2 linked regions of the Mus musculus genome follow. The protein of the gene in region 2 purifies or fractionates together with the protein of the main gene of each other region. This does not show direct contact. Links are inferred from orthologs where the notes say so. Each region holds a gene or a part of one and is shown on either strand. Other genes may lie near its edges.

What was found.
Region 1: the proteins of Ngfr (region 2) and Ndn purify together in Homo sapiens (affinity purification with western blotting; 3 studies listed by BioGRID). This does not show direct contact. The link is inferred for Mus musculus from reciprocal best matches to the Homo sapiens genes NGFR and NDN.

The regions. Positions count from the first base shown.
Region 1 is NC_000073.6:62,345,198-62,352,319, reverse strand, and holds Ndn (necdin), read right to left. Parts: upstream 4,044-7,122; 5' UTR 3,913-4,043; coding exon 2,935-3,912; 3' UTR 2,392-2,934; downstream 1-2,391. UniProt on the Homo sapiens protein: Growth suppressor that facilitates the entry of the cell into cell cycle arrest.
Region 2 is NC_000077.6:95,569,343-95,576,440, reverse strand, and holds part of Ngfr (tumor necrosis factor receptor superfamily member 16 precursor), read left to right. Parts: intron 1-1,997; coding exon 1,998-2,250; intron 2,251-4,460; coding exon 4,461-4,621; intron 4,622-5,345; coding exon 5,346-5,638; 3' UTR 5,639-7,098. UniProt on the Homo sapiens protein: Low affinity receptor which can bind to NGF, BDNF, NTF3, and NTF4. Forms a heterodimeric receptor with SORCS2 that binds the precursor forms of NGF, BDNF and NTF3 with high affinity, and has much lower affinity for mature NGF and BDNF.

The DNA.
Region 1 (7,122 bases), on a different chromosome or scaffold from region 2:
TAACAATTCACAAGAGTTTAACAAAGTGCACTTATTTATAAATGCCATATGTATTCTGAGTGGGCATTTAAATATGGATGCTATAAACAGTACCTGGTAGGGCTTCCTATGTTGGTTATGCAATATTATGGTAGTGGTAAGAATACTAGGATATATAGGAAAGATATAACTTTACTGGTTCATTTTAAATAACCATTTCTTATTTAATCATAACTCAGAACCATATTTTTCTCTGAGGTCAGCTTAAAGTAGATATTATAGTTTATATTTAAACTCTAGAGGCTCTCTCCACCTTAGGTGACTTTAAAAATGAAGTCAATTAAAGTGAAAAATGTGAAATAACAGAAAATATTAATGTGAGATAGCTGGGAGTAACTGGATGGAGGAAAGGGATTAGGGAGTGATGTAATTCTATTTCAATTAAACATATTAACATAAAGTAAATTTTAATTGAAAAATAAAAATTAAAAGGAACAAATAGTTCTGAGCTATAAGAGTAAAATATCAAGGTAAAAATGAAGTTACTGTTGGTAGATAAAAATAATCAGGGAAATCTCTCCCAGGTAGAGTATCAAATCATCATAGCTATGGACTCACAAACTGAGTCTGCTAAATGTTTCCTGATTGGTCTATTTAAGCATCTTTTCCAAAATACTTGGTGTACTCTCCTATTTTTTTTTAATTTTTAGGCCAATATGAAAATATAAGAAAGTTATTGAGTAATTCCCCCCTTTGTCCGCAGGTTGTGGTGTCTACTGAACCAGACACCATGAATTAAACCCTCCATATCTGCAAAGCTTCCTCCTCTATGGCAAGCTGTCTCCAAGACAACGCAGTTGGAGAGCAGCCCTGCTCTTGGGCCTGTCAGTAATCAGCGCCTTGTTTCTCACTCTCCTATTCCTCAGCGAATGCTTGGCCGGGATGCCAGTGTCAGTGATCTCGAATCTGTTTTACGTAGGTCTGCAAAACTGCAATCTGCAGAACAGACTTTGCCAAGCAGATCCATGCAAAGCAGATTCAATATTCTTACAGCAGAAAAACCCTAAACGTCTTAAATAGGTGTGCCAGCTAGCATCAGCTCTTTATGAAGTCTGCTGAAAGCCGGGTCACTCACATTGGGGTTACAGTCAGTATCTTCCCACTTTCCATTCTCACTCCAGTGAAAGACTATGGGCACAACTAAATATGATGAGTTCCGTTTTAACAGACACATGGATTATAAGCCTTTTAATTCCCTGCATTACAAGCTAGGTAATGCCACTAAATGTCGGCAGTTCTGCACGTCAACACACTGGTTGCATCTCTTTCATATTAATAGGACTCCTCGTTTACTCTTTACTCGGTATGGTGTGACAGGTATCTCCCCTTATTCACCTTTCCCAGGGGGGAAATTACTTTTTAGCTTTTACTAAATGACTTTTACCACAAATTCTAAAGGATTTCTAATCTCATTAAAGCCTCGTGTCTCTCTTTCTCCCCAGACCAAAAGCTTTCTAAGGAGATTTTTACCCCAGTTGTTGCTGTTTACAGTGATTCTCATCCCATTTCACCCTCTCTTCACCTACTGCCCACTGCAACATACTGACTGCTGAGTGGCAAATGTGACTATGCTTCTGGGGGCAGCTCCTTAATCCCAACCCCTCCTCTATTTCATTAGTGCCATGGCTCTTACTGGTACGACTGTCAGAATAGTTTCGCTCATCTTCATCCTTCTGGAAAGATGAAATTTCAGATCTTGTTTTTACCCCTTAGCAAGATAAGGACTTGATTAGGTCATCAATTCTTTCTGAAACGAGTTTCCTAATTTGTACATTCAGAAGCTAATTTTCTGTGAAACTCTTGGAATTAATTAGAAAAATCAAACCCTTAATGCATACAGCAGGGAGGCCAGAGTGCGTGTGTGAGTGGTGGCCATGGGGAGCTTGGTGTCAAGACTCCTGTATAAAGGTTTTAGGATAGTTCATTACCAACACCCCTTTTATTTTTTCTTGCTCTGTGATGATACAGTTATTCCTTACTTCTTATGGCTGGTGGGAGGACAAAATAAAGAAGAAAATGCATGATAAGGGTTTATTCTGCTAAAGTGTCCATCAAAGACTATTTTAAAAAATGCAACAGAAAAGGGGCAGGCCCTCCATATACCTGTTATTATCCCCATGTTATGTGATAATGAGCTTTTTTGTTGTTGTTGTTATACCTTTTATGTGACAAATTGATTAAAGCACTGCAAGTTTCTTCTGAGTGGTCGTGTGGTCTCCCACTGTGTTAGGACACCGTGTTTGCTTATGCTGCACACAGGGAGAATCTTTCTCATCCCCACCCATTCCCACTCCCCCTTTCATCAAAAATAAATGCCTCCTCCCCCCCCCCAAGAAATTATTTCACAGTATCTTTAATGCTCATTTTAACGTTTATTTATGGTGGGGTTGCATACATGTTTTGTAAAGGGTGCTAAGTGCCTACACTGAGAACAGTCCAGTTCAAATCAGTCCATTCCACATGGATGCTTCCTGTGCCAGTTGAAGTCATATGGAGAAAGGCCTTGACCTTTCTCTTGCTCAGGTCTGCGTTGCTGTTAAGTCCTGCTAACTCTCCAGGGCCTTCTTTGTCGATACAGATCATCAGTCCCATACAAAGAACAAGATACAGAACACCTCAATGTATTTCACAAGTTTAGCACAGCACATCTCTTGTACAAAAATGCACGAAAGCACAAAAGTGAAAGTACCAAATACTTATCACACATGCATCAATCTTAAACACTACACGAGTACACAAATGAATAGCATTACAAGGTACAAAAGCACTGTATGGAAAACTTAAAAATTATACATGAAATACTGCACTGTGGATTTGGGATACTCTAATGACTCAACCCCACCCTTACACAGCCCTAGTATGGGTCAGAAACTATCAGTGTGCCCCTGGACCTTTTTAGTCCTCAGAGACACTGCTGCGGGGGGCCTGGGCAGCAAGATTAGCCTCCCGCAGAGCTCTGGCCTGCTCCAGAGCCTCCCTGTATCGGGAAGGCCACGCCTGGGGATCTTTCTTGAAGACTCTGGCCAGGAACTCCATGATCTGCATCTTGGTGATTTCACGGTTAGCTCTGGACCCCCAGAAGAACTCGTACTCGGGAGGCTCGATGTGGGGCACACGCTGGTACTTCAGGTAATTCTGCTGGACGAACTCCTCGGTGATTATCTTCCTCACGTCTCCGAAGGTGGAGTGCTTCTTCCAGGGCCTCAGCCCCAGGATGCGCAGCACATTCCAGACCGCACCCTCTCTGGCCCCGCGGCCCTTCACATAGATGAGGCTCAGGATCATGAGCAGGAGGCCTGTCATGGGCATACGGTTGTTGAGCGCCACCCTGTCTAGCTCCTCTGGGCTGAGGGCTTTGACCAGGGCAAACTCCATGGTGTGGAGATTGGTCAGCCTCAGGTGCAGCCCGAACACTCTGGCGAGGATGACGCTGGTGCGCCTGAGGATGCTTCTGCACCATTTCTTGTAGCTGCCCATGACCTCTTTCACCATGTCTGGAAACCAGAGGACCATCCTCTTCTGGTCCTTCACCAACACGTACCACATGAGCTCGTGCGCCTTCTGCACCAGCTGGGCAGGGGCTGGCGGTGCTGGGATCGGCCGGGCTGGACTCTGGGGCTGGTGGGCGCGGCCCTCCTCTGCGGCCTGCTGCAGGATTTTAGGGTCAACATCTTCTATCCGTTCTTCGGGCGGTGGCGAGGCCTGTTGGGCTGCCATAGGGCCTTCGGGAGCGCACGGTGGCCCTGCGAGGTTAGCGGCCAGAGAAGCGGGAGGAGGGATCCCCACCGGAACGGCATCGCTGTCCTGCATCTCACAGTCGGGGACCTCGGCTGCAAAGTTAGGGTCGCTCAGGTCCTTACTTTGTTCCGACATGTCTGCGCCTTCGGATCAGAGCAGGACCGATGCGGCTTGGAGCTCTTGGAGCGGGCACTCCCTCGGTGGAGACCAGCAGAGGAAGTGCGCTTTACTGAGCACTGCGCCTTCCGCAGCAGCGGGCGGGCGGGGCTGATGCGATATTGCGCATGCGTGTTGGGAAGCCAGAAGGGTGGTAGGGCTGGAAAGGAGCGAAGCAGCAAAGCCCAACCACTGGGGTCTAAGGGAGGGTACCACTAGGCTTATGTAAAAGATTTCCTGGTCTCCTGTATGGCACAGAACTAGATGATGGTAGGGAAAGAAACAAGTTGAAGGAGAAAGATGTAGCTGAGATGGTGAAGTTAAGTTCGGACACACTGAGTTTGTGCAAAATCAAATTAAATGTGAAGGTCCTGGAGAAAGACTTAATTCTTGATTTTGGTTTTTCTACAAAAGAATAAGAGAAACAGAAATGACTTTTTTTTCTTTTTTCTTTTGGAAAGCTGTACCTTATGATGATGATGAGTTGTTTAAGATTGGAATATTGAGAAATTATTAATAGAGATAAATTCTTACATATCTGAATGCAGATCAAACAAGGAAGAATGTAAAGTGTAGTTACAGACACTGGAGATAAATCCATGTGAGATTTGAATGTTCTAGAAGTAGTAGATTCATATAGCATAATTGATGGGAGTTTAAAATTTTAATTAAAATGAGACTTGGTTCAGTGGTTAAGAGCTTTTGCAGTTCAAGCATGAGAACCAGAATTTAAATCCCCCAGGCCCCACATGAAAATGAGGGATATATAAAATATATATATATGCATTCATTCATCATTGGATGCTCAGTTTGTTGGTTTTGAATTATTTTAATAACTATAGATTTGGGCTCTCCATTTCTATTAGGTCACTTTGTTTTCATCTAAAGCTTCCGTTAAGATTCTAGTGGAAAATGATCAACATATTTATTAATACACATTTTATGACAGTGTATTTTTCATATTTTCCCACTACCTTTTTGCCCTGCTCACTGCATCTTCTGCGTTTATAAGAAATCTTCTACTTCTTAAATTATGTCATTCACAAATGACTAATTCCATGTTGGGAGCACATCCAAATCTTTCCCAATATATTTTAAATGCAGCTCTTTTCGATACCTAACAGTCTCTCATGAATAAGATGCAACATATTGGTGTCCAAAAATAAAAAGGTAGATCGAGAGGTCATCTAAAGCTGATATTTCCTCAAACTCTCCTTTATACAATGACCATTGTTGAAGCTTCCAAAGCCAGAAGTCCTTAGATTTGATCATCTTTCTTGTTCTGAAATAATGGAATTCCTTAGCCCTTCTCATCACTTAAAGCGGACAGATTTAAGATATCATGTTGGCATTCCTAGGTTCTAAAATATGTTTGTTTAGATATAACAGCTATCTTTTACCCAGAATAGTTATGGCAAGAAGCGATTCAGAGTTTTCCAGATTTGAGAATATTTGCACATGTACAATAACTTGTTTTAAACTCCAGCCTAGACGTGTTATTAGTTTGCTTCTTATTGACATTTTTGAAGGCAACACTTTCTCTCAGTTGTGATCTACTCCGCGAGCTCTGATGTGGAATTTTTCACTTGTGACATCCTGCATATCCTGGAAAAAGTTTCAGATTGTATATATTTGAGATTTTATGTGTTTGGGCTAAAAGTGCTCTAGTTCTCTGATGCTCATTAATTGGAACTGTTTTTCTGCAAGTGGGTTGAGTTTGAAGAATTTTCTGCACTAGATCACTATGTTTATATATACAGTGTATTTACCATCTTGTACTCAATGGATTCATGAAAACAAGTCACAAGTATGGGGCTGACAATCTTGAAGTTGTTTTTTGTTCAGGGAGGATACCAGAGATGGGACCAGAGAGCTACCTGGGCATCAGCTACTGAATAAGATGAGCTATATAGTTGAATTCCTAGCTGGAACTCAAGCTGAAGAAGCTGTTAGCATGATAGTAGGCAGAACCCCTACTGAAGCTCACTAGACACATTCCTACAGATAAGAAAGTTGCTTAATGCTGAACCAGAGACTATAGATTAGGACCACACTCATAGATAGTGCTTCAAGAATTCAAGCCACGGAATTAATGTTCAACTTAAAAGGAGCCCAGTATAAACTGTGGTGCTGCTTAACCTCAGAGATCCAAAGCACCCCTACAGATAATGGTTTCATCTATTCAAAGAAATCCTTCTGAAGAAGATCAACACACTATTATAGAGAGAAGGAAGAGAATTTGGGATAATGTTTAATCACAGAGCACAGACTTTAAGCAGAGAGCACATTTAGCATGAAAGCTTGGGAGTTGATAGCTACACAATATATTGCTTACTCCTATAGAGACTGGACAGACATTACATAAAAAGGAATGAAAGGGAAGTAACATTAAGTAAAGGAAAATAAACCAGTACTGGGGTGTTGTCCATGACTACTCTAAATCCAAGGGATATTGGGACTAGAGTTCTAAGAATGTTGGGAATAATTTAGACTTGGGGGTTATCTTTACATTCAGTTTAAGAGGAGATAGAAAATAAGATACTACACTAGAATTTAAGACGAAAATGCAGGAAACTTACATTAATGGCTCCCAGAAAAGATTCAAGAAGAGATTCAGAAATAGAAAATGGAGACATTATGTCTTCAGATCTTTTGGAAAGGACATTTTTTTCCAATGGGTTTCCTCAGACTGTAATATGGAACAGATTATACAGCTGTGGAATAGGCTGTTCTTGGCAGACTCCTCTGAAGAGGCCTCTTCTGGCACTGGCTTCCATAGAGAGCTGAGGAAGGAGGGGTCATCCTGGAGCCTCCTGAGGATACTACACATGCTCTCAGGGCAGGGTCCTTGGATGAAACGTGAATTTTTCCTGGCTCTTTCTTGTCTACATAGGCAGTGACCTTTCTCTTGAAGCCCCCAAATGGGCCCCACATGCCTTTTCAGGCCAAAAACTGAAACAGAAAACTGATTTTAATATTTTCAGCAAATATTTTTGAGCAGTGTTAGGCTTAGTTTTAAATTTTTCATTTAGATCAGTCTTGTAGAGAAATATTGCATCAGAAGTACTGCAGTTAAGTACCATTTTTGTTACAAAAATAGGAATCAGGGACAGAAAACTGCATTCCACAATTTGAGGGAGGAGGAGGGACCAGCCTCTGACCTATCATATTTGCATCTTCTCTATGGTG
Region 2 (7,098 bases):
TGATTAGAGGAGAGGGAGGACCTGGTTGGAAAAGGGGCAGGCTCCGTCTTGCAAGGAATCATTTCTTCCCAGACGCGATCCTTCTTTCTCAGTCATCTTGGCAGAAGGCACCCCCTGACCCCCCAGTAACATTTATCCTTATATTGTTCTTTCTGTTCCAACGTCTGAAGGGTTAAATGTTGGCCCTGAGGCCAAACATCCCTTTCAGGAAATGGAATTTGATTCTTGGGTTGGCAGCCCACTCTTGTCCAATGTTAAATACTCGCCCGCATATACATTTCAGGTGTCAACATGGTGACTCACCCAGCCTTGGGGCAGACGCCCGGCCTCCTTACCGCATTGAAGTTTAGGAGGGGTCACCTGCTCCCTCTTCTTCCTGATAGCTCCCATTCCGGAAATGGCTGTCAGGACCTGCCAAGTGTTTAGCGGGTTGGAACGTCAGAGGACAGGCCCACATCTGGATCTCGTCTCCAACCCTATCAGAGAGGCTGGGGGCGGGGGTGAGGGGAGGTGTCCTGGACACTCGACACTGCCTTTAGCCCTTCTCTGAGGCTCCTTCATTTCTGTATCGCTCACCCACCCACATCAACCTCGGGGGCAGGACTGTCAATCTAAACTGAGTCACATCTGCAACCTCTGGATTCAGGCTACACCTTCAACCTTCCCTGTTCCCCTAGCGGATCATAAGAAGGTCCTCTAGGGTCTAATGCCCAGACAGGGCTGTCTCTCCCACTTCCCACCCTCTCCTTCCAGCCCTGCCCGGTACTGGGATGGGGGTGGGGTGGGACTGGGCAGCAGATGGCAACCTTCCCCACACTGCCAGTCAAATGGATTCCAGACTCACATCTGGGGTCCTTACCCCTCAGAAGGTGCTGAAAATGGGGCCTTTGAAGCATCTCTGTCCCGAGCCAGGGAGACCCAGAGGACTAGTGGGCAGCTTTAACTCCAGCTTGGGTGGGCACACTGTAGACTGGGCGGGGCAGAGCTGGGTAGCAAAGTGTCCTCCCCTTAACCTTACAAGCATACCCTGTCTGCTTTCCCTCCCTGTTTTCCCTGCGTGGGAAGTGAGAATGGATAGGACAGGCTGCTTTGCCCAGACAAGTATCCCCCAGGCCACCATCCAGAGCCTACAACCCCTAGCCCTGCCTCTGGCTGGGTGGCAGAATGGAAAATCCCACCCACTAGTGCCAAGAGGGGCTGGAGCCTCTGCCAGGAAGGCTGGCAATGTCCAAATGGCATGAGCGGGCCTAGATGGGTGGCCAAGCACAGAATTGCTCCTTCTGAGGCAGGGTCTAGTTCGTAGGCCCTCCCTCCGCCAGCTGTCTGCTTCCTGCTAACGAGGGTGCCAGCTGTCTAACCCACTCTTCTCTAGATGCCAGGGCTAGGCTGTTTTGGGAGTGGGGGGTGTCAGGCGTTACAAGAAACATGCTGGCCACTGTTCAAGGACTGGCTGGGGGTGAAGTAAGCCAGTTATACATCTAGTGCCAGCCTAGGCCTGGAGCATCTGAGACAGGAAGGGGCTGAGTGCCACCTGCCGGGCAGCATCTCTGATCAGGCCTCTGATCAGCTCTAAGTGCCCTATCCTTCCTGAAGGCTGTGGTCACTAAGTCAGAGCAATTCCATTCCTCAAAGCAATTAAGTCATTGCTCCAGCTTAAAGATGCTCTACAGCATGCAGGCTTCTTGGTGTTCATGCGTGGCTGCTGGCAGACACTAGAATCCTGGTTCTGCAGCCTAAGCCAAAAAGTTGTTTAAAGACCATTTCTTTTCAGAAAGCCCATTCTCTAGATGGGGAAGTCGAGGCCCCATACTGATAGAAGTCTCCTGTCATACAGCTCTTGCTCTTCTTTTCTAAACTGCATGTGCACAGTCCCAGCTTCCACCCCCATGCGTAACAGCCTGGCCCTGTGTGCCTGGAGGCTCATGATGAAGCCCTGGAAAGCTGGAGCTAAGGGGAAGGCCTGGGTAGGTCCTAACTCCTGTGGCCCTGTTCCTCAGAGATCCCTGGCCGATGGATCACAAGGTCTACGCCCCCGGAGGGCTCTGACGTCACAACACCCAGCACCCAGGAGCCGGAGGCACCTCCAGAGCGAGACCTCATAGCCAGCACAGTGGCCGATACGGTGACCACTGTGATGGGCAGCTCCCAGCCTGTAGTGACCCGAGGCACCGCTGACAACCTCATTCCTGTCTATTGCTCCATCTTGGCTGCTGTGGTTGTGGGCCTTGTGGCCTATATTGCTTTCAAGAGGTAAGAGGGGGCACACTGAGGATGACATAGGAGATGTTTGCTCCGACCTTGACCTGGAAACATACATACCCTTAATTCAACCCTAAATTCATCCTCCAACACTATCTCATGCCCTCTGGGGTGTATCCGTGTGTGTATGTGTGTGTGTGCTCATATTAGTGTGTGTGTATGTGTGTATGGTGTGTGTATGTGTGTATGGTGTGTGTGTGCTCATATAGTGTGTGTGTATGTGTGTATGGTGTGTGTGTGCTCATATAGTGTGTGTGTATGTGTATGGTGTGTGTGTGTATGTATGTGTGTATGTGTATGGTGTGTGTGTGTGTGTATATATGTGGTATGTGAGAGTGTCTATGTGGTGTGTGTGTGGTGTATGTGCTTGCATAATGTGTGTGTATGTGTGGTATATGTGTGGTGTGCATGTGTATAGTGTATGAGTGTGTGTGTGTGTGGTGTGTGTGTGTGTGTGTGTGTGTGTGGTGTGTGTGTGGTGTGTCCATGTGGTGTATGTGGTGTGTGTGTTTGTGTGTGTGTGTGTGTGTGTGTGTGGTGTATGAGTGTGTGTGGTGTGTTTGTATATAGTATGTGAGTATATGTGTGTGTGTATATATATATATATATATATATACATATATATACATATACACATATATATACACACACACACACATATGGGGGGTGAGTGTGTGTGGTGTGTATGTGTGTGGTATGTGTGGGAGTATCTGTGTGTGCGTGTGGTATGTGTGTTTGTGTGCGTGTGTATGTGTACAGTATGTGGGGAAGTGTGTATGGGAGTGTGTGTGGTGTGTATGTGTGGGAGTGTATGTGTGTTATTACATGGTTTTCTTTTCTGTCCTGGCTCCAGCTCTTCCCTACTCCCAAGCTGCTCCTCCTGTTCCTTAGTCCCTGCCACCTCCTCTGGCTACTTGCATCCCTGCCCTCAGTCACACTCACCCCACGGTTCCTGGTTCTGCATGTGTCTCTTCTCTTCCTAAGTCACCCTTGCTTTCCTGTCACTCCCAAACTCCCTTGTTACCCTTGGGCTCCTGTGGGACCCACATCAAGGAATTCAAGACAGAAGAACTCGCAGAAGGCATTTTCAGCTTTGAGTGTGCGTCCCATTCCGTTTTTCTTTTCTTCTTTCTTTCTTTTCTTTTCCTTTGGTATTTTGTTTTTAAATCATCAAAGTGATCCATGCTTTTTAAAAGCAAATGCAAACAAGACTGAATTTGTTTTGCGGTGCTGAGGAATGGAACCCAGATCTTTGAACATGCCAAGCCTGCTTACTACCACTGAGCAATAGCTCCAGTCCCAAGACTTCTAAACAGCTTCCAACGCAAAAAGCAAAAGCCTCGCTTTATCTCCTCAAATCCTGCACATCTTGTGGGAAATCTCTTTGGGATAACACTTTCTAAGCTGTTTAGAGTGCATATATATACACACACACATACATACACACACACGTTATATGCATATATACATACACATATACCCACACATGAATGTTTTATAATTACATGTAGACATGAAGAACTTTTCTGACGATTCGGTGGGAACACACCATTCACCGTCTACAATGTACTCTTCCCTCTTACTCCCCCTCAGGAGAGCTTTCCTCAGAACACAGATTATCTGATCATTTACAGCCTCTCATTCAACAGCACCAGACATGGGCTGTAATGTGCTTAGCCAGTCCGCTCTTGATGGACACTTATCTTCAGAGTTTTTGTTGCTGCTGCTGCTTATGTTTGCCAAGGAAATCTGTGTGTGTGTATGCGCATGTGTGTGTGTGTGTGTGTGTGTGTAAGTGAGTGTGTGATTGCTGCTCACATATGGGAGTATTTTAGTAGGGAGAAATGGAATTTCTAGGAAGTCATTTATTTGTGTAGTTGGTTCTGTGAACATTTACTGAATGTTTACCAAGTTCCTCCACCCTTGCAGAGCTTTCAGAGTGTGTGTGTGTGTGTGTGTGTGTGTGTGTGTGTGTGTGTGTGTTTATGCACCCGCACGAGTGTACCTACGCACCCACCTGCAGAAATGAGCATCTTATCGCCTCTCAGCCTTTTGGATAAGATCATATACAGAAATAAGCTCCTTAGACCCTTTGGGGACATTGCCACACTCCCAGCCTCAGTCGGCAGCACAGCTACGTTGGCTGCACTGATAGAATCCTCACCCCAAGCCCTGGCCTATCCCCTGTCCCTGGGCTGCAGATGGAACAGCTGCAAGCAAAATAAACAAGGAGCCAACAGCCGGCCGGTGAACCAGACACCCCCACCAGAGGGAGAGAAACTGCACAGCGACAGCGGCATCTCTGTGGACAGCCAGAGCCTGCACGACCAGCAGACCCACACACAGACTGCCTCAGGCCAAGGTGAGTGAGAAGCCAAAAGACTGAGGGTGCAGTTATGATTAGACTCCAGGAGGGACCGGCAGGTACCAGGGTAGGAGAGGCTAAGTCGGGTGGGAGACATAGGAAAGGGGAAGGTTTTTGTTTTTTATTTTTGTTGTTGTTTTGCATTTTTTGTTTTTTCTCCTGGGATGACTTGGGAAATGCAGGCTTTTATAAGTTGGAGCATCCAGACTCATCAGGCTAATTGCCCCCCCCTGCCCCGGGGGGTTAATTACTGCCCAAAGTGGCTGCAATTAGCCTCCTGCCCTGGACTTCTAGGAAACAAGTGCTTAAGTGTGTACCTTAATTAGCGGCCCAGAGCCAGGCTCTAGGACACTTGCTGCAGTTGTCTGGAGCTGGATTGCCCTGTCCCCTCCCCCTTCGCCTTGATGATTGCTGGGGGGAGGGGACACGCGTGGAAAGGATGGTGCCAGCACCGAGGGTGTAGGGAGAACAGTGAGTCAGCAGGACCCAGGTCCCTCCCACCCAGGCCTCATCTAGGACCTCATCTTGGCTATCTCTCCGCCTCTAACTCTAGACTTGGAGGAACGTGCCTTGGCCCTTCTGGGGTCTTGGCCCAAGCTTCTAGGCTCACGGAAGGAACCAGGGCTCAGGGTTAGAGAACACGGAAGTGAGGGCTCAGGGTTAGGGAACATGGAAGGAGAGAGGGCTCAGGTTAGGAACTGACACCCCTTGTTCTCTGCAGCCCTCAAGGGTGATGGCAACCTCTACAGTAGCCTGCCCCTGACCAAGCGTGAGGAGGTCGAGAAGCTGCTCAATGGTGACACCTGGCGACATCTGGCAGGCGAGCTGGGCTACCAGCCGGAGCATATAGACTCCTTTACCCACGAGGCCTGCCCAGTCCGAGCCCTGCTGGCCAGCTGGGGTGCCCAGGACAGCGCGACGCTCGATGCCCTTTTAGCCGCCCTGCGACGCATCCAGAGAGCTGACATTGTGGAGAGCCTGTGCAGCGAGTCCACTGCCACGTCCCCTGTGTGAGCTCACCGACTGGGAGCCCCTGTCCTGTCCCACATTCCGACCGCTGATGTTCTAGCCCCCACAGAGCCGCCCCCCTCTCCCTTGGGGTGGCCCAACAGTCAGAACCGAGCATCTCTGTGTAGGGCCTCTGTGTCCCGCTCCCCAAACCACAGCCCTGTTGCTGCTCCTGAGGGGACCTTTGCTTCTGACCACACTCTCTCTCCGGCGAGAGATAGGACCACCCCAAGCCTGTCTTGCCCCGTGACCATCTCAGGCCTTTCCTTTCTTTCTACACATTAACTGTGTCAGATCTAGGGGTCTGACACTAGAGAAGGTAACAGGGGCACCCCTAAGACTCAGGGGGTACTAATGAACCAGAGCCATGGACTCCACACTGTGAACTGGAGAACAGGGGGGGCATTGTGGTAGGCCAGACCTTCCTCAACCCCTCCCTTCTCCCATCTGGCCAAAGATGAAGAGGATTACAGGCCTATCTGAGCTGAAAGCAGGTTTGGAGCCCAGTCCACACTCCTTCTCTTACACATAGGATGGTAAAGCCCAGAGAGGCAGGGACTAACCTAGGCCACCCAACAACAGGGAGATCAATTGTAGGCTGACACACTCCTTTCTGAATGAGGGCGTCAAGTGCTTGTTGGCAGGGATGGAGTGACTTTCAGGGAAACATCTGGAAACGACGTCTGCCCCGCCCTCAACCACTTCCAGGCCCCTACCCAACCCTTGTGCAGATGAACTGTCTGTTCAAAACCTGGTCCATTGGCCTGTTCTGATGGAGTCGGGCTAATGTCCTGGGGAGTGGGGTGCTGCCTTCCTCTGTCTGTCAGGCTTAGCCACAGGGCATTTGTGGAGGGATGAATCTGTTAGCACCCTCATTCGTGTCATAAGCCTGAAGCCAACAGTGGCCCTTGGAGTCAACCCTAGGGGTCAGGGACCAAGGACCCACCCCATAATCCAACACCACACACACACACACACACACACACACACACAGAGAGAGAGAGAGAGAGAGAGAGAGAGAGAGAGAGAGAGAGAGATCATGCTTTTCCCCCCATGGCTCTTTTTGGGCTGAGACCAGATCCTGCTGGAAGTCGCTGGCTGCCAGAGAAAGATGGAAGGGGACCGAGATGAGCTTCGTGGGGCTGTCTTCCTCACCTCCCGGCTCTGGCAGGCCAAGAACTGCTGCATCTGAGCTGGCGTGCGTGCGTCCGTCCCTGTCCGTCGGTCTCCAATGGCCTGTGTGTGGAGGAATGCTCACACCGCTCCCTCTCCTCCCCTTCTTGAAGCCCAACTTTGGCTGCACCCAGAAAACAGTGAAGAAAAGCAGGCTGCTGTGAGAACACAAGAAAATGCAGATGCTGGCCCGCAGTCTGAGGCAACTTTCTCCTCAGTTTCATGGCCCCTGCAAAGGACCAATTTCCTGGGCATGGCCAGGAAGGGACCCGAGTGCTCATTGGCCGGCGCTT